3 linked regions of the Callithrix jacchus genome follow. The protein of the gene in region 1 interacts with the protein of each later gene in a pairwise test. Links are inferred from orthologs where the notes say so. Each region holds a gene or a part of one and is shown on either strand. Other genes may lie near its edges.

Region 1 (6,917 bases):
CTGCACAAATGCTTTATGAGTGAGTACATGAGTGAAGGAGGCAAGGGAGAACGAAAGGGTAGGGGCTGAGCTCCCAGGCCCAGGAGGGCTCCCCTCACTATAGGATAAAGAGAGCTCGACTACAGGGAGCTGGCCCACAGCCACACGGAAAACCACGAGGCAGAATGACGCACACTTAGGCGTGAGGCAGGCGGGCTCTAGCCTCCAGGCAGAGCTGGTTCATTAACAGCTGCAGTCCTCAAAGTGTGGTCCCCAGACCAGCCGCTGGCATCACCTGAGAATCCTTGGAAATGCCAGTGCCAAGTCCAGACCCCAAATGACTGAATCAGACACTCTGGGGATGGGGCAAGCAAGCTGTTTAAGCAAAGTCTCCTGAAGATTCCACTGCATGCTGAAGTTTGAGAACCAGTGATGGACACAGCAGGGCCCGATGCCAGCCAGAGGGCAAGGAATTGGTCCAGGCAAGGCCAACCTGGATCCCATCAATCACCCAGGCCACCCTGGGTGCTGTGCAGGGGCCTTGCTGCAGCAGTCATGAGGTCGCTTGGACACCATCATCCATGTCCACTACTAGATGGTAAGATCTCCATGGCAGGGCCACACGGCCCCGTGCCCACGATCCCCCCAACACACATCTCTCCTAGGCAGGTGCACACAGGGTCATCAGCCTGAACCATGGACTGGCCAGGGTGTCCTTACACCTGTGCCCTCACACCTGTGTGACAGGTGTGTGTGCTGTCCTGGCCAGAACAGGACTCTCTTGTTCATGCTTTCAACACGGAGTTGTGGATTATCTACGAGGATCCAGGCTCTGGGGTAACCCCAGGGGTACAGGAGGGAACGAGGCACAGAACCCTCCCTCCCTCAAGCCCAGACCCAGAGTTCTGCTGCTTCCCTCATCAATCCTAGGCCCAAAACAGGAGCACTGAGCTCAGCAGCACAGCCTTGGGGCTCCTCTGGGACCTTGAACCAATCAGAGGACTTGATGAACTGGCAGAGCTGAAAGGGGCACCCTCCCACCAACCCCAGATCAGGGCGAGGAACCCCATCTTGTGTGGAGCCAGGCTACCCGGAAAGAGCCCCACATGTCATGCCAGAGACCCCTGGGCCTCGCCCCTCCACTCCCCGCCCTCCAGTTCCACGCTTGTTTGTATCTTTACACAAGACTTGTTTTATGCATTTTAATATTCATTATTTGAAATTGGCAGAGCAGTATTTAATTAAAATTTGGTCCATTAAAGAAAACACACAATTGCAGAAGAAAATAAAAAGCACAACAAAATCCCAGCCCATATTTAAAGGAAGCTGTTAAGAGATTTGGGCAGGGAGGAAGAGAACCCAAAAGCAGAGAGGGCCTTGGGAGCTTCCCCAAGGAGAGACTCGAAGACCACACCCCCAAGAGGGAGGACAGGAGACGTGATTCAGTAGCCGAGACTGCATAAGGGACACTTCCCTAGGTGCAGAGGGATGCCTTGCTGAATTCCACCAAACCTGGGGCTGTGGCTCAGATCTTGGGGTCCCTTGGAGGAAGTCAGGTGGTTCTGCAGACAGCAGCCACGGCAACGGCGTAAGAGAGGTGCTGTCCTGTGCCCAGGGAGATCCCAGGGGAAATAAGCTATTTGTCCTCCCAGTCTAAGGACAAGGACAGACTTCCCCCACTCCTGTCTCTAGTACCTCACCCCCCCGCCCCGGTCTCTTCCCCAGCCAGGGAGTTGTATTTAGAGCTGGGGACCTGGGCTGCCTGCCAGGGTCCAACAACCCTGCTATGAGAAAGGTGTCTGCCCTCTTCAGCTCAGAACCTGAAGCCCCCAGCACACCTAATCTGCATCTCCCTCTGCCATCATGCCCTCCATCCTGGGGTTCAGTGTCCCCCAAGGCAGCTGGGGACCATTTGGAGTGGATTCAAGTTAAAATGGCTTCAGCCATCCATGTATCCACTCAAGCAATATTCCAGGGGCACCTATGGAATGAAGACGCTGTCAGCAGCCCTGGGAAAACCAGAGGGATCAGGACCCCAGCCTGCCTTTGAGGATGAACAAGCTGGGGTACTGTGACTGGAGCCTGCCCCCCTCAACTGAAGGGACTCACTGATGACTGCGGGTCTCTGGGCAGCCCAGGGACACCCTGGGGTGAAGTTACACAACTCTGGCGACCCGTGCAGCTCCACCCCAATCCTGCCTTCCGATAAGGGCCTGAAAAAAACCAGGGCAAGACCAGACAAGGAAGCCGCTCTGGGGCGCGAGCGCTGTCCGTGGTGCTGGCGTCCCACGGCTGCTTCCAATCGCTCCAGGAACACCCAGCGGTCAGGAGGGCGGGACCGGCAAGGGGTCGGGGGTCGGGGGTGGGGGGAAGAAGGGGCGAAGATCCTCCAGTGTTCCCAGTCAGGCCAGGGATTCAAGGGCTTCCCTGGAGGAGCAAGGCCCTTTCCAGAGACGCCTGCTTCCCGCCCTGCTTCTCATGGGCTCCCAACGCTCCCATCACTGCCCAGGGCCTGCCCCAGCTCTCCCGGCCTCCTGCACCCCCGGACCGCTGCGGTCTAGCCTAACTCCTGCCGTCTCTGAGGGCTGCCTCTTCGGCCCAGCACACAGGCCCGGTGTGCTGGGAGGCGGGCGCCAGGTGAGCCACCGTCTCCCCGCCCCCATCGCCCTCTGGGAAGACTACAGCGGGGCTCGGCGGGCTCCGGCCGCGGCCTGAGGGGTTCAGGCTCCCTGCCAGCTCCACCCTCGCAAGCTCCGTCCCGCACCCGGACCCCACCTGTGGCGGCGTCCCGAGTCCGGCCCCTACGTCGGGGCTGCCACTCCCTCAGCGTCCTGGCTATCCAGCTACCCAGGGCCCCGCCGGGCGCCCACCAGGCAGCGCCCGCTTCCCATCCCGCTACAGGAAGGCTCCGCGGGTGCCTGGGAGGAGAGGGGGCTGCGGTCTCCTCAGCCCCAGCGCCCGCCGCCCCCCCAGCCCCGCAGCACCGCCCCTGCTCCCGCCTCTACAACACCTGCGGTCGGGAGGCGAATCCCGGGATTAGGGGGTCCTCGCCCTCATCTCGGGACCCTCTGGTCAGAGCCAGGCCAGAGCCCCGCGGGGGGAGGGCAGTGCCACCAAAAGTGGGGAAGAGGGTAGCACAGGCAGGGAGGTTGTGGGGGGAGCGACCTAGGGGCGGACGGGCAGGACGGGAGGGACCAGAGGGGGAGCTACGGGGCGCTGCGCACTAACTTTGCCGCCCGGATGGGACAGTCCACCGGGTGAGGACGGACCCCGAGGGGCTGGGAAGAGGTGCGCAGGCTGGGGCGACTTTCTGGGCCCAGGACCACCACCAACACGCAGGTGTTTTCTGCCCCCATTCTCACTTCCGCCCCCGAGTCCTCTCCGACCCTGCCCAACTCAGGACAGGTACCAGAATAACACACCCCTCCCCACCCGCACCCCAAGTCCCAACCCCATTCGTGTCCCCAGCCCAGTCCCACTGGTCATCGCCAAGGGTTGAACCGCCCCCTCTGCCATCGGGGCTTCCACCCTCTCAGGAACCGACCTCGCCCGCCTCCACCCCGCGCCCCCCGGGGGAAAAGATCAACCAGAAGGGAACTTTACCGAAAGGGTCTCAGGGTGACCAGGCATCTTCTGACCATTATCTTCCCATCAGGGTTGACGGTGATCATTGTTCAAACTTGTCTGGGCGAAGAGCCACAGGCGAGGCCGGACGCACCGTCCTGGGCCCGGCTCCCGCCGCGTCCTAGCCGCGAACCCTCTGCTGGCCGAAGCCGCTTCAGAACGAAGCTGGGGGCGCGCGGCCGGGTGGCCTCGCTGTTCGGGCCTGGGCGGGCAGCGGAGGGAGCAGCGCGGCTGCCGGAGGGCGGCGAGGGCGCCCGGCCCGGCCGTCTCTGCGTCTCCGCCCTCCCCGCTTCACATTTTGGGGGCCGGGAGGCGGCGCGCCCCCAGACCACCGGCCGCGCGTCTGCCTGCTCCGGCTCGCTCGTTGGGCGGGACAGTGCCGCGGCGCGCAGACGGGATCCCCGCGGCGGGCGCCCTCATTCCCGGCCCCGCGCCCTACGTGCCGGCTAGAGGCGGCCCCGGGCCCGCGCCCCCGCCCCCCGCGCCTCCGGGCCGCGCGGATCCTCGGCCCCGCGCAGCGCTGCGCCCATGGCTCTCGACGGAGGCAGCCCGCACCCGCCGCCCGCTCGCCCGCCCGCTCCGCTGCCCGCGCTAGGGTGTCCGGCGTCCAGCCCCGCGCCGCGCTACGCCGGGAGGCGCCGCATTGTTCCTCGGAGGAGGCGGCCGAGCGGCGCTGGGGCGGCCCGGGAGCGGCTGCGGCGCTTCTAAGACGCGCCGGCGCCATCTCGTGGCCGCAGCCTCGCTGTGCGCCCTGCCCGGAGCTGTGCAGGGCTGGGGCGCGGAGGACCTGCTTGGGGAACGGCGGGCGGGGGTCCCTGCTCCTCCCCCTGAGCCAAGCAACTTCCCCGGGCGCCATCAGCCCCGAGGGCCAAAAGCCGCTTTGGCTTCCGTAGAGCACAGAGGAGATGCGCGCCCAGCGGAGACCCTTCTCTTCCGCCAGGTGCCCCCACGGGCTTCCGCACCAGCCGCTTCCCACCGATGGGATTTCACTTGGCGACACCCGCCCATCTTCTGTCCCTCCCTGATCAGAAATTCCCGTGGCTCTTCTTTGCTTACTGATCTTCTTTGCTTAACTCGGCCTGTGGCGCCGGGGCCTACTCACAGAGCCAGGCGCAGGGGCGCACTGAGTTCTAGCCCCAGATCCTCCACCAGTCAGTGGGCAATCAAGTGTGCACATCTCAGAGTCTCCACTATGAAATGATTGGACCAGAAGCTCACCAAGGCCCCTTACAACCCTAAACATGTAGGATCTCATGTGGTCTCTTAGCATCTAGGCGTCCTCCCCTCCCCTCTCCTCACCCTTCCTAGATTTGGAATAAGTTTGCAGTTGCAGAGATGGACAGAGGCTCTTGGGAGCTCGCAGGGCCAGTCTGAAGAAAGCTCTCTGGCTTCAAAAGCACTTCCCGAGGCCAGACCTGACCACCCCACCCTGGGAAGTGCCCAAAGCCTCAGTCATGTGTCAAATGACTGAGGCTTTTCCCAGCTCAGGCTCTGATGGGGCAGCCTGGCTTATGAAAGGAGGGGACTTTCTTTTCCTCCACCTGGTCCTGGTCCCCTCCAATCCCCCATGCCCAGTCTCCTTGTCGCCTGCCCCGCCCACCTCCCTGTCCCCTTCCTGGGCCATTTTTTACTGGCGGTGACTCATGCTCTCTGCTTTTCCTGCTCCTTCTTCATCAAAATTGACCTGTGCTGAGTTCCATTATCTCACTGCCTTGCTCCCTGCTAATGTGAAAACGGGTGATAAATTGGTCTTAGCAGAAGGATGTGTTACACCAGCTAGGTAACAAATTTGCATTGAACAAGGACATGCTGACCGTGCCTTTGTGCAGAAGAGTGACGGATGGTGGCAGGAAATTTGGGCATCATGGCAGGTTGGCTAAGGAGATATCGGAGGGCAGAGGTCTCTGCCAGGCCTCTAAATCACACCTCATGCCTGGGTGCCTACATCTGCCACAAACTCTGGCAATAATTTACTCCCTGAATGTCAAGGCCAAAGCTGTATCTACAGGAGGAATGAAATGGCCCTTCTGATTGGGCGCCTCTCTCATGTAAGCTCAGCGGGTTGCATTTATACCCGGTTGCCATTTTAGGCCAAAGGGGAAGCCTCTTCCTGAGTGGTAGAGATGGGGCTCCCTAGAAGTCATGGTCACCTCTGGAGCAGGCCATCTGGGGAGGTAGCCTATCCTCCACAAAAGCCAGAATTCAGGAGATAGGGGAGGATGCTTTCCACTTCCTCTGGGTCACACTGTCTTAGATCTGGACTTTGAGGCTGGAGTGGAGGAGCCCCTCTGCCATTTGATGGACGGCTTGGGTACTGAAAGCGAGGTGAGCAGAGGAAAGCCAGTGACTTTTTTAAAATTTATTTTCTGAGATGGAGTCTTGCTCTGTCACCCAGACGGAAGTGCAATGGCATGATCTTGGCTCACTGCAACCTCCGCCTCCTGGGTTCAAGCGATTCTTCTGCCTCAGCCTCCTGAGTAGCTAGGACTACAGGCACATGCCACCATGCCCAGCTAATTTTTGTATTTTTAGTAGAAACAGGGTTTTGCCATGTTTGGCCAGGCTGGTCTCAAACTCCTGACCTCAAGTAACCCGCCCGCTTCGGCCTCCCAAAGTGCGGGGATTACAGGCAGGAGCCACCACACCAGGCCAGCCAGTGACATTTTATGAGCCAGACTGTTCAGCTGCCTGGCCCTTTTGGAGTTTGTCTCCTTTCCTTGGCCTCTTGTCTGCAGTAAAGTTCCATGTAAACAGTCCTGCTTGCTCCCTGCAGTGCTGTAGGCATTAGGAGAAAAGCTGTGAATGCCATATCATGCAGTCTTGGATACAACCTCTTCACACCTTGGTTTCCTCAACCATAAATCAAGCTCCTTATAACCTGCTTCATAGAGCTGTTCCGAGGATCCAGCCACTTAATGCAGGCAAGTAGCCCATTGCTGGGCCCTCTAGAGCCTTCCAAGCATGGTGGTTCTGCTGATCATTGCTCCCGTCCATCAGGAACAGATGCTGATTGTGCCCCCTGCTGCAGTCACCTCTGCAAGCTAAGAGGCAGATTACTGAGGACACCTTCCACTCTCTGCCTGAGGACTTTTTTAAATGGCTTCCGGAATATGCTAGAACATGAAGGGGTAAGAAAGAAGGACCCTGGGGGGCAGTGGCTCACACCTGTAATCCCAGCACTTTGGGAGGCCAAGGTGGGTGGAGCACCTGAGCTTAGGAGTTTGAGACCAGCCTGACCAACATGGAGAAAGCTCAACTGTATTAAAAAAAAAAAAAAAAAAAAAAAAGCTAGCCAGGCATGGTGGCGCATGCCT
Region 2 (6,929 bases), on another chromosome or scaffold:
ATTTAAAAGAATGTGTGTACATATTCATTTTGATGGTAGATAGAGACCCAGGAAGAATATATAGCCAAAGATCTTTCTTCTCCTCACACCAAAGTCTAAGGCAACCCAGGAGACTCCCCTGGAGGAAAAGTTGGAGGTGGGGAAGGGAGCCACAACACAAGAATGTAATTTTAGCTTTTCACCTTGGCGGTGACCCTTAACTTCCCTCAGCTTTTCAGCCTACGTCCTGAAAGGCTGGCTAGGCTGGTTGAGACTGCTGATTCAGATACACTAACAGTTGGAAGATCTTCATGCCTCCTGTATTTTCATGGGGAGAAGGAGTATGAGAAGAATGTAGAGGGAATTTAGAAGAATAAATGAACTCAACAGTGTATGTATATATACATATATACAAAAATATACAGCTGATATTATAATTTAAATTTAAGCTACAGATACAGCTTTTAATAGATATATAGCTTAATATATCTATATATGCAAATATATAGCTTAATAAATCTATATATAGCTTAAATCAAAATGTTGGGCTCAATCAAAAGCTAATAATTAATTCCAGGTGCATCATACATGGTAATCAAAGAGCAGGAGAAATCTACATTCAAAAGAAAAAAGAAAACTTCATAACTAGAAGTAAAAGCCACTAGAATACGAAAATTGTCCTTAAAAACACCACACATTGAAAGGGATGTTCAACATACTACACCATTAGATAAAATAACCCCAGTTCTTTAAAGAATCTAAAGCAAAATGTAAAAAAAATTTCTTCGTTACAAAACTGAGTTTTGATGTGAATACCTCACTCCCTAAATGGTGGTTTTTCTCCAGTGATTCACAGCAAACATACACTTTCTTAAGGCATGTGCTTTTCTCAAAGATTCTTGAGAGGAAAGACTCCATGTGCTTTTGTATACAAGAAAAAAAAAATTCTCTCTCCACAGCTATGTACTAAAGAGGCCCTTTGCCCTGCAAAAAGACCAACCACATTTTAAAATCAAAGTTCACCAAGTAATAGATCTACACTGCCAGCAGATATTTAAAGATTTCTGCTGGTCTGTCTACTTAATGTACATGTGGACCTACAATTCCAATAGAGATTTGCTTACTCTCTACATATAGTGAACTACTTATCCAGGAGTAGTTCTGACATCCTTCTAAATACACATGGAATGTTATACACAAATACATTATCAGAACAACTGCAAAAAGGGTATAATACCTATAGCAACAGGCAGTCTCAGTGGGCAGTTGTCTCCAACTTAAACCCCAAATGGAATTTATTCTTACAAGCACTGCGTAGAATGGATCCACTTGTATGTCTTCCTAAACAATTATCTATTATTGTCCTACCTTTCTCCCCATTCCCCATCAGATAGTGATTGGCTTTTTCAAAAAAATGAATTATGGGGTCAAATCAATTGAAAGAAGAAAACAAAAGTTGTGTACATCAATATGCAAGGTATGGGGTGGGGGCGACTAGCTGGAATCTGAGCCCCCTGATGCCTCAGTCCCCCAAAGTCATCACTTTGACCTCTCCTTGTGATAAATCCTATTCTCTTTTGCAATTACCTGTTTTCAATTTGGAAGGCTCAGGCTATCCCTCAGTATTAGGTAGGAGTCAAACAGAGAGCACAGCTCTGGTTTGTCCAGTTGAAATCCGTTTCCTTTTTCTATTCTCCTAAAGCATGTATCCTGCTGCCGCTGCTGCAGCTGCTACTCCGCCGTCCTGCCTGCCCTTACTCCTCCTCCTCCTCCTGGGGTTGTGTTTTTAGTTTTGTGACTCTTTAGAAATCATGAGCTTTGGCTATCCCAAAGAACACTCTGAAGAACACAGGATGTGAAAGGAATCCCCTTGGACAGAGACCACAGAACCCAATGCCCTATCACATGAATGCTGCTGGGCAGGTGGCCACGGCAAAACGCCACCTCTGATATTAACTCAGACCTCTGCCCTAGTCCTCGGGGAAACGGAACCAGAGAAGCAGGAAATGGAAAAAAATTAAGAAAATATATTGGTACAAATCCACTTCTAGAGCTGAGACCAAACTCCTCCTAGTTACTTGTTCAAACCTATGGGAGAAAAAAAAAAAAAACACTAAAACCTTTTTCTCCTCCTCTCATTCCTCTGTGGCAAATTCATAAATATAAAAAGATGAGACAGACAAAAGAGAGGACTGGTGAGCATTCCTGAGAAATGTTTATATGCTAACTTGGATTAAATATCCACAAAATTCAAGTTCAGCAAACTCTCTTCCATCTTTAAAATTCCCAGCTCTTCTCTCACACAGGCTGTTTGTTCTCAGAGCTTCGGGCCTGGATAGCATGACTGAAAGGGCAGAAGAACTGGACCTGCCAGCCACCCGTCAACTCACCACAAAACAGGTGAGTCTGCATCATTTCCCCAGCTGCACAGGATCCAGACAAAGCAGTCCAGTGCTCCTGAAAGCCTCTCTCCAGAAGCTAGGGTACTGTCTTTAGGGAGTTGGCATGTCAGTGTAGGTACCAGCTTTACCACAGTTCTACCTACAGGAGGGCTCTGGACTTTCCCACTCCTAATTCCAGCATGCCTTCTTCTGGGAGAAGGTGGGCCGTTTTCCTTTGTGCATTTGACCCAGAGAAACACCAAACACATGTCTGCTGAATTTCAAGAGCCATCAGAAGGGCTCTAGGGCTGGGCAGAACCGCAAGCTAGAAATTCCCCAGGAGGAGAGAGACTAAGAGGCCCAACTCAGGCCTGCCAAGCTCAGGAGGCCTGGAGGAGAGAAACAGATGGGTGGTGGGGGATCAGATTTTGTTTTTTATCTCTTTAAACCACGAAGACAGCTGAGGGCAGCCTGGGGAACAGTGTTAAAGGATCTAGGAGGTTCTGCAAAGGAGTGAATTCTGGCCCACCAGATTCTTGGTCCCCCTATCAGCTCAGGAGCCTTTCGGGACCTTTTTACGGTCATTGCTAAATGGAACTTTTCACCAATTACAATAGTCTGGAGGCCACGGAGCAAAGTTAGAAAGGGCATGGGGCAAAGCTAGAAAGGCAATGGGTTCTCAGAGTTGGAATGCTCGTCCCCACTCAAATTTTCCTGGGCCCTGGGCTGGGCCAGGTTGGGTCGGGCCGGCTGGGCGGGGCAAGGCCCAGAAGCACAAGCAGCTCAGAGTCAGCCAGGGCTGGGTCTTGGCTCATTCCCTACACCTAACCATTCCAACCCCCAAATTCGAGGCCCTCTAAAACCCGCAGCCCAGAAAACTCTGCCCCACGTAGGGCAGTGTGCCCGCCTGCGTTTTAATTTGGCCCCGTCTCGACTCCGTTTATCTCCCTGCTCAATCTGACACATTCCCCTTTAACCTGGGGAAGGCACCTGGCGACCCTGATGCACAGTCCCGTGGTGTGGCTCCCCGGAGGCGCCTTCCCGGCGGGCGCAAGTGCCACCCGCGCTGGGTCCAGACTCAGCCGGCTTCTCCCGGGAGAGGAAACACCGGCCTGTCGGAGGGTAGGAAGTAAAGCTCCGCCAGTCCCACTTCCCAAAACCTTGCCTCCAGGCCTCCCAGGAGGAGCTGCAGCAGGCACTCCGAAGTTGCCCAAGCGCCCGTCCAAACTCCCGCACCGCAGACACTCTTACCTGGCTTGGCGAGCTGCGCCTGCAGAGCCCCGGGCTGCGGCTCGGAGGTCCAGCGCAGAGCGGCGGCCGCGGCCAACTCGGCAGCAGGGCGCGGCGGCGGCGGCTGAGACGGCTGAGAGGCCGGCGGCGGCTGCGGGGCGGTGGCTGCGTCCCCGGGCGGCGGGGGCCCGGGCAGTGCGCGTAGCGAGTCCGGGATGAGGCTCTCCAGGCTCTCGTTGGCTTGCTGCCGGCGCAGCGCCACCTGCGCCGCCATGACCCTCTGCCGCTCGATGATGAGGATGCACTTCTCGCAGGTGCAGTCCTTGAAGCGGCAGTAACGCTTGTGGCCCTTGAGCCAGGAGAGCACACCGTGGTTGCGGCAGCGCGCGCACTTGGGCGTGCGCTGCAGGGGCGCCCGCGGCGGCTGCGACACCGGGCCGCCCATGTACAGGTAGGGGGAGCCGTAGCCGTTCATGCCCCAGGCTCCCGGATGAGTTGGCGGGCTGGAGGCCGGAGCGGGCCAGGGAGCGCTGGACGGCGGGGTTGCGAGGCACGCTCAGGGGCTGCCTCCGGGCGGCGCGACCCTTGGTCCAGTAGCGCCGGCGGTTGGGCGTGCCCCGGAACGGCCGGAGGTGCCGCAGCCGTCTTTCCAGCTCCCTCGGCGCTCACAGCTCGGCCTCCCGGCTCGCGCCCAGCCAACCCCCAACGCGGGCCGCTGCTTTGGGCGCACAGCCGAGTCGGCACGTCCTCCCTTGCTAAGGGGCAGCGGCGGCTGCAAGGAGCGGGCGAAAGCTCTGATTAAGGTCTGAACCAGCTCGTCTGCAGCTCCCTTGCGCGCTGGCCGGACTCAGCACCTCCTCCGCTGCCCTCCTCGAACCCCTCCTCCTTCCCACCACCACCGTCACCCCCACCCCTGGGGTCCCGGTCTCCTTGCACTCCCCGCCCCACGCCTTTCTCCTCCTTTGCTCCCCTCAGGTCCCTGCACTTCACCTTCCTGGCCACCTGCAGCCGGGCCACGCTCGCGGGGGCGCTCACGGCCCCCTCCTCCAAGTCCTCTCCGTCACCCGAGCCTGCAGCGGGAGACTGCAGCGCTCCGGAACGCGGCGTGCTCGTGGGGCGGAGAAGGGGAGGACCAGCGAGAGTGAGGGTGGGGGTCCATGTAAGGGAGTGAGGTGGCCGCTCCCCTTCTCTCTCTTCTCCTCCCTTCAGTCCTCCTGTGGCTGCGTTTTTCCGAGCCCTAGGCAGCTTTTATCCCGACATTTGGCCGTAGAAACTCAGCTCCGGGAGAACCCGAACCTACGGGAGTGTTGGGGGTGCATCACAGACCTGGGTGGAGTTTAGGATAGGGGATTGGAGTGATGTTGATTTGGGAACGTTAAGCTCTTTTCTTAATTTCCTTTTAAAACGTATTTTTTTTTTTTATCTTTTGTTGCTTTGGAAAAAATGTATGTGGAGCTCTGCCGGCCCAAGGATGACCACCCCCCCTTTTTTTGGGGGCAGGCAAATTTTACTTTTCTACCCTCCTCTCCATGTTTTAATATAAAACAATATCCTGAAAGGTCAGGGACATACATGCTCCCGGAAAGAATTTGCTAAGCGCCAGGTATAAACTTTCAAGGAGCAGACGCAGAAGCCACATTAGCGCCCCCAAGTTTATCTCTTCCCTCTCTCCCAGCAGCCACTGGGGGCAAACGCAGGTCTGGAGCCAGCCACTCAATTAAAATCCCCAAAGATTCTGTGATTTAATTATGGATATGGAATAGGGCCACTTTTGACCCCTTAACCCACAGACCCCAGTCATAGATGTCTTGGGGGAGAGGGTCCTTGCACAAGATGACAGCAGAAAACTTCGATTAGATTATTTGTGTTTTCCCATTCTCCCAAGAGTAGCCGGTTTGGCCTAGTGCAGACTATCGCTATATATGCACAAGGAAGGCCCACCCCCTCGCGCCTCCCCCTTGCCCATCAACAAACAAAAAAAACAAAAAACAGGTGGATACACTGGGAGCGGGACAGCCCAATAGCTCTATGCCAAGCGGGGCAGTTCCAGAGCCTTCGGTGGGTACGCTTCTAAGAGTGTTTGCACCAAGCTCATCTGGCGGGGAATCGAATGCTAGATGAAAGCGGGCAAGTCCGCTGCAATGCCGGACCCCTCGTGGGCACAGAGGCCCTTGTCCCTCCGGGAGGCCGCTTTTCTTCCTTTTCTCCGTACTGCCCTGGAAGTAAGCAGACAACCCGAAAACGTTCCTCTGGTGTTTGCTGTGAATTCAAGGGAAGCACTTCCAGGCGTTCTAGCAGCCAACCCTTTGCCTAGAAGGTTGATTCGCGGAGGAGAGGAGGGTTTAAAACCGAACCCGGTTGAGTGTTTCCCTTGAAGCCTTTAGCTGTCCCGTATCATACACGTCCGTGAGATGGGGATCGCGGGAGACTGACCTGGAGTGTGGACAAGAAGCCCCAGCATTTGAGTGGGAGGCCATCCTCCAAAGCCGCGTGGGGTAGGGACCCCTCGGTCTTGCCCCTTCCCCCACCACTTTAATCCTTCCTCTAGTCTCAGCCTTCTCTAGGAAAACAAGCCCTAAAGCACAACTGGAAGAAATTTCGTAAGCTCTGGGAACAGGAGGCAGAGATCGCCCGCAGCCCTATAGGCCTGAGGCTAGGAAGTGAGGAGCTGGACGCGAGTCATTTAACGCGCTGAGGTGTAGAGGGCCACGAATGACACCTTATCTGAAAACTATCGCGCTGAAACCTCCAGGTCTCTTGGAAACGTGGGGATCGACGACTTTTTTCAAAACCAAATTTCTTCCGATTTTCTTCAAATGGTCAATGAAACGAGGGAGTAGAAAGAACTTGAGCATGAATAAATTTTTAAAAGGAAAGCAGAAGAGCTCTGCACCAGGTTTGTGGGGGCATTCTCACTACCAAGGCGACCCCTCTTTCCCGTTCCTCCCTAGGTCACCTAGCCACCCTAACTCCTTGCCACTCAAACAGTCTGGCATTATTTGGTCCCGGGGGCCCGTTTCACTCCGGTGCACATCGGGGGCTGAGATCTAAATACTCATTTGATATAGTGCAGTAATCCTTTTCTCATATTTGATGGGAATGTTTTCCATATCCCAGTATTTGACAACATCTCCCTATAGGGACAGGTTTGTATTTATGTTGGTAAAATGTCCCCTGCCTCAAAGTCTATTGTAACCCAACACCTGACAACCCCGAGTCCCATTTCTGTTTGCAGAAAGGGTTTATTCAAGCACATAATGGGATCCCAGCAGAAAGCCTTTCAGAACAAGGGGCTATGGTAAACTTCACCACATGAACTCCGTTTCCAGGGCTATTAAG
Region 3 (6,851 bases), on another chromosome or scaffold:
AGCCTCTGGCCCTGGCCAACCAAAGAAGGCCTGAGCCACTCTTCCCCACAAATTGATTGGTGCAGGAGTGGGCATGTAAGCTGCACCCAGCCAATCAGCATAACCAAATCCCTTGCTCACCCTGGGGAGGGTCCTATAGTTGTTGCCAAAAAAGGCTCAGCCCTGTTCTCAAGAAGCTTACAACTGGTAAGGGCAACAGGCTTTCGTCTATCATTATACAAAATTTCATTTCAATAGTTGCAATTAGAACTGTGAAGGAAAAGAATACTCTCCCTAATTTTACTTGGTATTAAGATTTAAAAAAAAAATAACACTGCCTGAAGAAGTGTTATGGCCTCTGTATAACAGTGGCTGCAAACATTTGCCCATTATGTGAACCCATGTGACAAATTCATCAGAGGATTTTGCACTAGGGAGAAAAATTTCTGTTAGAGAAAGCACATCAGTTTGGACTGAAAGACAAAGAAAATTCATCAGCCAATTCCGCTGAGCTTTTTTGATGGGGCACCTGGAGGCTGAGAGCTAAAGTGATATTCAGGAACAGAGACTGCTACTTCTGTTCCTGGTGAATCCTGCTCCAAACTTCCTCTCTCTCTCTGATTCCTTGATTCCACTGTGCCAAGATGTCTGCTCCCAAAGATGTCAAAACTAAAGGGAAATTGCAAAATATATATATTTTTATAGAAGGGAAAGTAAGATTATAAAAAGTGTGTTTTATCCCGCCCCCCTCAAGTTCCACTAAGAACTTCCTGACTTCCAGTCCCAGGGTGGGGTTGTGCCCCACCCACCAGCCTGCCCTGCTTTCCTGGACCAAAACTTCCTAGCAGCTAAGCAGGGAATAAGGGCAGATAAACTAAACCAGCAAAGGAATCTGTTTCTGCTAGACTCAACTAACATGACCACCATGGGGAAAGTATCTAAACAAAATAAGAGCAAACTCTCTTAAAGAGCAACCTGGTGGCTTTGCCATTCGCTTTCAGCCACTCTATACACAGGACTCAGGGCCAAGCCCCTTACCATCATCATCTCATCCATTTCCCAAAGAAAGCAGCAGGAACTCTTACTCTCACATTTCACAGATGGGGAAGCTGAGGCTGGGAAAGATTATGTTATTTGCCAAAGCCACACACAACTAGTAAAAGCCACTGACAAGATTCCAGCACAGGCCATCAGATGCCAGGGGGCAGCATGTTTTGGCATCAGAGGCCCTGCCTGGGAATGAGAGCATGCAGAAAATCTCATTCGAGATGGGAACAAAACTCGGAAAATTGCTAGCATGCAGGGAGAGAGGAAGGTGTGATTTCCTGCTACAGACTTCAGAGTAAAAGCCACCCCAGGAGTGCCTGTGCAGCCCTCCATAGTAAAGGTCCAGTGGTTCCATTTATGCCAAAAGAGGCCACTGCTGCTTGGAGTATAAGGAAGTTTCCCATGACAAGGTTGGATGCGCCAGCCTTGGCTTAGCAGCACTAGGGCTGGACCCAACAAGTCTTTTTCACACAAAAAGCAGACAACAGGAGCAGGTAGAAGTTGGGGCTAAAATTCCCACAGCGCGGGGTCCAAAGACAGTAGATGCACTTTCCCCAGGCCCAGGTCTGCTAGTGCGGTCACCGGGGACTCGTTATCTTAACTTGCAACCCTGGGTGCACAGAGCTCACACACACACTGGAGAGGGGTTCCTGCTGTTGACGGTTGAAAGGAGGGTATGGAGTCCCTGGAACAGCACGACAGAGGGCAGGGGCCACCTGGCAGGGCCTGAACGCCGAGGCCTCCGTGAGCTTGGGTCGGGCAGGCTTCCCCTTTCGGAGGCTGGGGAAGGGGTCCTGGGTCTCTACGTTTCCAGGCCAAGCAGCCCTGGAGGCACGGACTAGCAGGACGCCAAGGCGGCGCGGGTCGTGGCCTCTCCCGCAGCAGCTGTTGGCGAGAACCAGGCAGGGAGGCGCCGCTGCTGACGGCACCTCATGAAACATTCAGGCCCGGCTGCCGCGCTGCCATCTCCCGGCACCTTGCTCCCGAAACTGTTGCTCTGGATCCCATGGCCGTCGGAAGGCAGGCTCGGCCGCTCCAGTTCCTGAGAGTGACAGGCCACAGCCAGACCTGCCCTGTGGTCCCATCCCAGAGTCCCAGCAGCAAGTAGGCTCAGACTGGGCACTTCAGAGTACCAAGAGTAAGTTCGGTCAATTGGTTTCCCCCACGAGACTTTGGGCACAGGGTTATCTGGCCGCGGGGCAACGCTGGGGAGCCCTGTGGCCCGAGGGTGGGCGAAGGGCAGGCTCCCAGTTCCCTTCCATCTAGCCCGTCTCCCAGTGGCAGCCAGGAACAGGCCTGCAGGGCCACAGGGGTGCAGGCGTCACCGTTCGCAAGCCCGGAGCAGGGTGGCCGCTGGGGGATGTGCAAGCACAGGGGTTGGACAAGGGGCCGCACAAGTGTCTGTCCTGAGAGGTCAGTCTCCCCTTTCCTCACCAGCCCAGGCCCTGAAGAGAGGGAAGGAGGCAATCCGCCAAGCAGGGCAGGTCGGATGGCACCCCCACACCCAAACACAGAAACCCTGGGGTCTGTCCGCCAACCTCCTGGGCTGCCACGCTCTGCGCAGGGACTCTCCCTGCCAACACGCAAAACCAGCTCCCTCCCGCAGGCTGAGCAGGAAGGAGAAAGGTCCAATCTCAAACCGTCCCCCGCAACTAGACCACCAGCCCCCGTCTAAACGGAAGTAGGGCCAGCCCTTCAAGAGTTAGGTGGGAAACTGAGCCCTGGGAAAGAAAGGGCGCCCGGGCCAGGCTGGGACCCGCTGCGGCTTCGCAGGCTGCCAGGCCCCTCCACGGAGGTCCGAGGGCGCGTTCCTCGGCCTCCAGACTCAGCTGCCAGCCGCGCGGACCCCAGCCCGCGCCCCGAGGGAGGCCGGGACCCCTAGGCGGCGGGACTGCGCGCCGCCCCTCCCCGCAGGTCCAGGCTAGCGCCTAGCTTCCCCTCCCCCCTTCCCGCCTCCCGGCGGGTGTCCCCGCCTTCCCCGCGGGCGACGGGCGGCGGCGGCGGGAGGAGCGGGCCGAGCTAAGGCAGCCCCGGCCTCGCGCTCTGGGATGTAGCGAACCAGCAGGGGCCGAAGGAACTGGCAAAGCCGGAGCCAGAGCCAGAGCCAGAGCTGGATCCCGGGCCCCAGCCGGAGCCGAAACCTGAGCCAGAGTCCGCGGCGGGCGAGCCCGGAGCAGACGAGCGGCAGACGCAGCGCTGCCCAGGTGGGGTAAGAGACGCTGGGCTAGGGGCACAGGGTCTCCGCGGTGGAGGGGAGCAGGGAGGTGGCGGCCGGCCGAGTCCTGCGCAGTTTGCTCCTGGCGTGTGTGGGTCCAGCCGGCGACACGCGACAGCGCAAGGCGCGGAAGGTCAGGAGCCTTCGAGGCAGGAGCCCGTGCGTGCGCCCAGGGCACAATCATAGCCGCCGTCACCTAACCGGTGGGATCAACCCTCCGCTTCGGCCCCGGGCACCCCAAGCGGGTAGCAGCCTCGGGGGCACGGGCCACGGCTCCGCAAAGGGCACAACCCCGTGGCAGCCCATAGCGGCGGCGCGGGAGGCAGGGCCTCCCGACCCCCAGGAGAAATGGGCAGGAGAGAGGGCCTCCCGCTGCTCCTCACTGCGTCCAGGGATGGAGGGCCCCACCACCCATGGAACTGCTGGCCCCTCTGCGTGGCCCGGGACTTCGGCCGTAGCTTCGCATCAAGAGGGTATTTTTCCTAAACGAAACCGCTTCATTCGTTCGTTCGTTCGTTCGTTCGGGCAGCAATGATAACGAAAAGCAGCAGACATCGGCCAGCGCCCTGGCTCTCTTCGCCCCGGACTCCGACGTCCCGCCTCAGCGCTCGGAGGTGCCCCCAGCCCACCGCGGCCTGCCCTCGCCGGCACAGGTCCGGCTTTTTCTTCCCATGAGAAAAACCCCAAATTCCCTTCTTAACGTCCAATAAAGACATTCCCGCGGCTTCTCCCGGGTTTGGTTGTTGACGCAGTTCCCGGAGCACGCAGCCGCTTCTCAAGAACCGGGTCTCGGACTTCTGAAATTGACCAGCTTCGTAAATTGGAGCCCATTCTCCCGCGGCAAAGGCAGGGCTCCAAAGCCAGGATGGCAGTCATGGGAACCCCAGGCTGAAATCCGGGTCCCAAGATTTTCCGATTTAGGAATTCCCTGAATCTACAACGAGTTAGTCCACTTTTCTGAAAAACTAAGACTTGTGTATTCTCTGGACATCGCTGTGACCTCTGAAAGCCACCAGGTCCAGAGGGAGGAAATCCCAGGTTGCTGTCCACTGAGGGAGGATTCAGGTCTAGGGTTCAGGTCTAGGGTAGTCAGGCCAAAAGCTACAGGCAACCGGGGCAGCACAGAAGACTTGCTGTCCCCGTGCCCTTTCATGGGGCTGCTTTGGGCTTCCCGCATCTCTGCCAAGGAAAGGAAAAGAGGTGGGCTGGGGCGCGGAGACCAGGCTGTCTGGACTATAGGATGCAGGGGCCTCCAGACAGACTCAGGGTGCTCTTCTCCCACCTAGCCGCTGGGAAGAGGAGGCTGTGGTGCATCATAACCCGCCCCTCTGCTCCCCAGTTGTGTGACCAGCTGCACCTCCTTCCTAGTCTTCTTCCCCACAGCTCAGCCATTCTCAGGATCTAGAAAACTTCTGTTGGAATTAGGTGAGAGGTGGGCCGGGAGAGCCTTCGTCCTACCAGCCGCTGGCCCACAGCACGGAGTCCTGAGTTCTGTAATCCCATCTGTGCCTCACTGGTGGCAGTCCTGCCCAAATACATCCTGGCTCTCCCAGGAACAGGCTGGGGATCCTCAATTGGCTGGAAGCCTCAGACTGGGGTCCCAGGAAGCCTAAAGGAGCCAGTGAGGTCTTTCCAGCCCCTACCTGAGCACCCTCCTCCCTGCTTATCCAGTAATTGCTGTAGTCAAAGGAACAAGAGCTTTTATTGGGGAGGGGGTGTTAGATTAGGCAGAAGAGGTAGGTGGTCTAGGCTGCACTACCAAAACTGGGTTTTCAAGTTTGAACCTCTCCACGGACTAAGAGGCTTAGGGCTGGAATGTCCCAGAGAGTCAAGGATAGCCCTGGTAGCAGGCCATGGCACATTCCTTCCTTTTTCTAAAATACCTTGATTCTCAGAGCAAGGATTAGAGCAGGGTGCCCCCAAGGGTAGGTAGAAGGATACCTCTCCATGAGAGCATCCTAACCACCCTTCCCCAATTACATTACTAAACCATTCTTGGACACAGGCTGTTTTTAGTGAGCCCGGCTTCAGGAAGGGTCCTCTTGGTGACTGCTTCAACTCCACAACAGCCCAGGCTCTTCTGTTCAGCCCAGCCAGGACCCTAAACTCCAAAGAATCACAGAATCATTGCTGACTTTGTGTGGCGAGGGATGGTGTGGGGAATAGGACACATGGTTCCAGCTCCACTAAACCCCTTTCCCTCCTCTCTTCGAGTCCCATCAGCAAGCGAGCTAGATGCTGAAGCAGCAGACAGAGTCCCATATTGGACATGGGAACTGAGGCACAGGGCAGATCAAGCCTTGATATTGAGGCAAACACAGGTCACACAGCACAGTTGGAGGAACACCAAGCCTCTTCTTACTCCTGAAAGAGTGCTGTCTTCTGTCCTGTGTATGTGATGTGTCTGTGAGTGTGCAAGAAGCCCCTGTCTTGACTGGGACAATGGCCAGTGAGAGAGTGTAGCCGGGGAAGAACAGAGAGCATGTCCAGGTCCCTTCCCCAGCCAATGCCCAGGATCAGGCCACAGCCTCCTCACTCCTTGATCACTCAGTGCTGCCCAGGCCAAGCGGGACACACTCCCCTAGCAGGCCTCACTAGCCCCATCCCCTCTTTGGGTCTCAGGTCCCCTGAGGATAGGGGCTTCACCTGAAACAGTCTGAGGGCTTTTCCATCCACACAGCAGGTAACGAGATTGCCAAATAAAGGGACTATTGTGCTTGCCTGGAGCTTGGCCAGAGGTTTGGGCCCAGAGGGGCACACAGCAGGTGCTCAATAACTGCATTAAATGCACCAGCAGTAAGGATACAGGCCCCAGACTAATCAGTGAGTGCTGCTGAGTCACAAAACAGTCCCCATCCAGGGACAGCCCAAAGAGTCACTTTGGTCCCTCCGGGAAATGAAGGGGCTGTGAGTCCCAGCCTCCTCTGGATGCCCACAGACAGACCATTCATTTCTAAGTCTCTGCTCAGAGATGCACTGTGCTTCCCACCTTGGCCTGACATGTGGTGGGTTAGAACACACCTCCTATCCCCTACCAGCCAGCGTTCATGCCAAGTAGCACATATATGCCTCAACTCAGCACTTCCATAATGCAGTGAGTGCATGTGTGTGCAGAGCATGCTGGCATGGATGTACAGGACGTGTGTGTATGTGCGCGCACGCGTGCGTGCCCCCATGCTGTATGCATGCAGGCTGTTCTATGCGGTAAGACAGCTAAAGGGAGAATGGTGTGTGAAGGGACACTCCCGAGCATGCTGCGGCACCTGAATATCTCCTTGAAAGGAGGGATCTTCTGCTGCAGGAGACTTAGCCAAGAAATGTGGTAAAGGTGGAGCTGAGGGCAAATGCTGTGCAACTGTGCTTCTCCATGTCCCCCTCCCCGTGGCCAGGACTCGTTTCATGGAGGGAGATCTCAGCTTGGAAGAAGGCAGGAGCCTCCCCAACCAAACTCCTGGGAAGTGTCCTCCCTCCGGCCTCAGACCCTGCCTCCTGTGGTCACAGATGCACAGTGAGAAAGGGTCAGGCCCTAAGGAGCTGCTGTCTCTCCCTGCCCCACAGTTGGGGGGCAAGGGGGGCTGGGGCTAACATGGAGGGAATGGAAGGCAGGCCT

The links.
Region 2: the proteins of MGAT5B (region 1) and DMRT3 interact in a two-hybrid assay, tested with the Homo sapiens proteins (2 studies listed by BioGRID). The two-hybrid records come from large-scale screens. The link is inferred for Callithrix jacchus from reciprocal best matches to the Homo sapiens genes MGAT5B and DMRT3.
Region 3: the proteins of MGAT5B (region 1) and PITX1 interact in a two-hybrid assay, tested with the Homo sapiens proteins (2 studies listed by BioGRID). The link is inferred for Callithrix jacchus from reciprocal best matches to the Homo sapiens genes MGAT5B and PITX1.

The regions. Positions count from the first base shown.
Region 1 is NC_133506.1:132,713,258-132,720,174, reverse strand, and holds the start of MGAT5B (alpha-1,6-mannosylglycoprotein 6-beta-N-acetylglucosaminyltransferase B), read right to left. Parts: upstream 4,088-6,917; 5' UTR 3,651-4,087; coding exon 3,583-3,650; intron 2,900-3,582; exon of another isoform or gene 2,755-2,899; intron 124-2,754; exon of another isoform or gene 30-123; coding exon of another isoform or gene 1-29. UniProt on the Homo sapiens protein: Glycosyltransferase that acts on alpha-linked mannose of N-glycans and O-mannosyl glycans.
Region 2 is NC_133502.1:107,432,881-107,439,809, reverse strand, and holds the start of DMRT3 (doublesex- and mab-3-related transcription factor 3), read right to left. Parts: upstream 4,678-6,929; 5' UTR 4,066-4,677; coding exon 3,612-4,065; intron 1-3,611. UniProt on the Homo sapiens protein: Probable transcription factor that plays a role in configuring the spinal circuits controlling stride in vertebrates.
Region 3 is NC_133503.1:33,465,551-33,472,401, reverse strand, and holds the start of PITX1 (pituitary homeobox 1), read left to right. Parts: upstream 1-3,072; 5' UTR 3,073-3,235; intron 3,236-6,851. UniProt on the Homo sapiens protein: Sequence-specific transcription factor that binds gene promoters and activates their transcription. May play a role in the development of anterior structures, and in particular, the brain and facies and in specifying the identity or structure of hindlimb.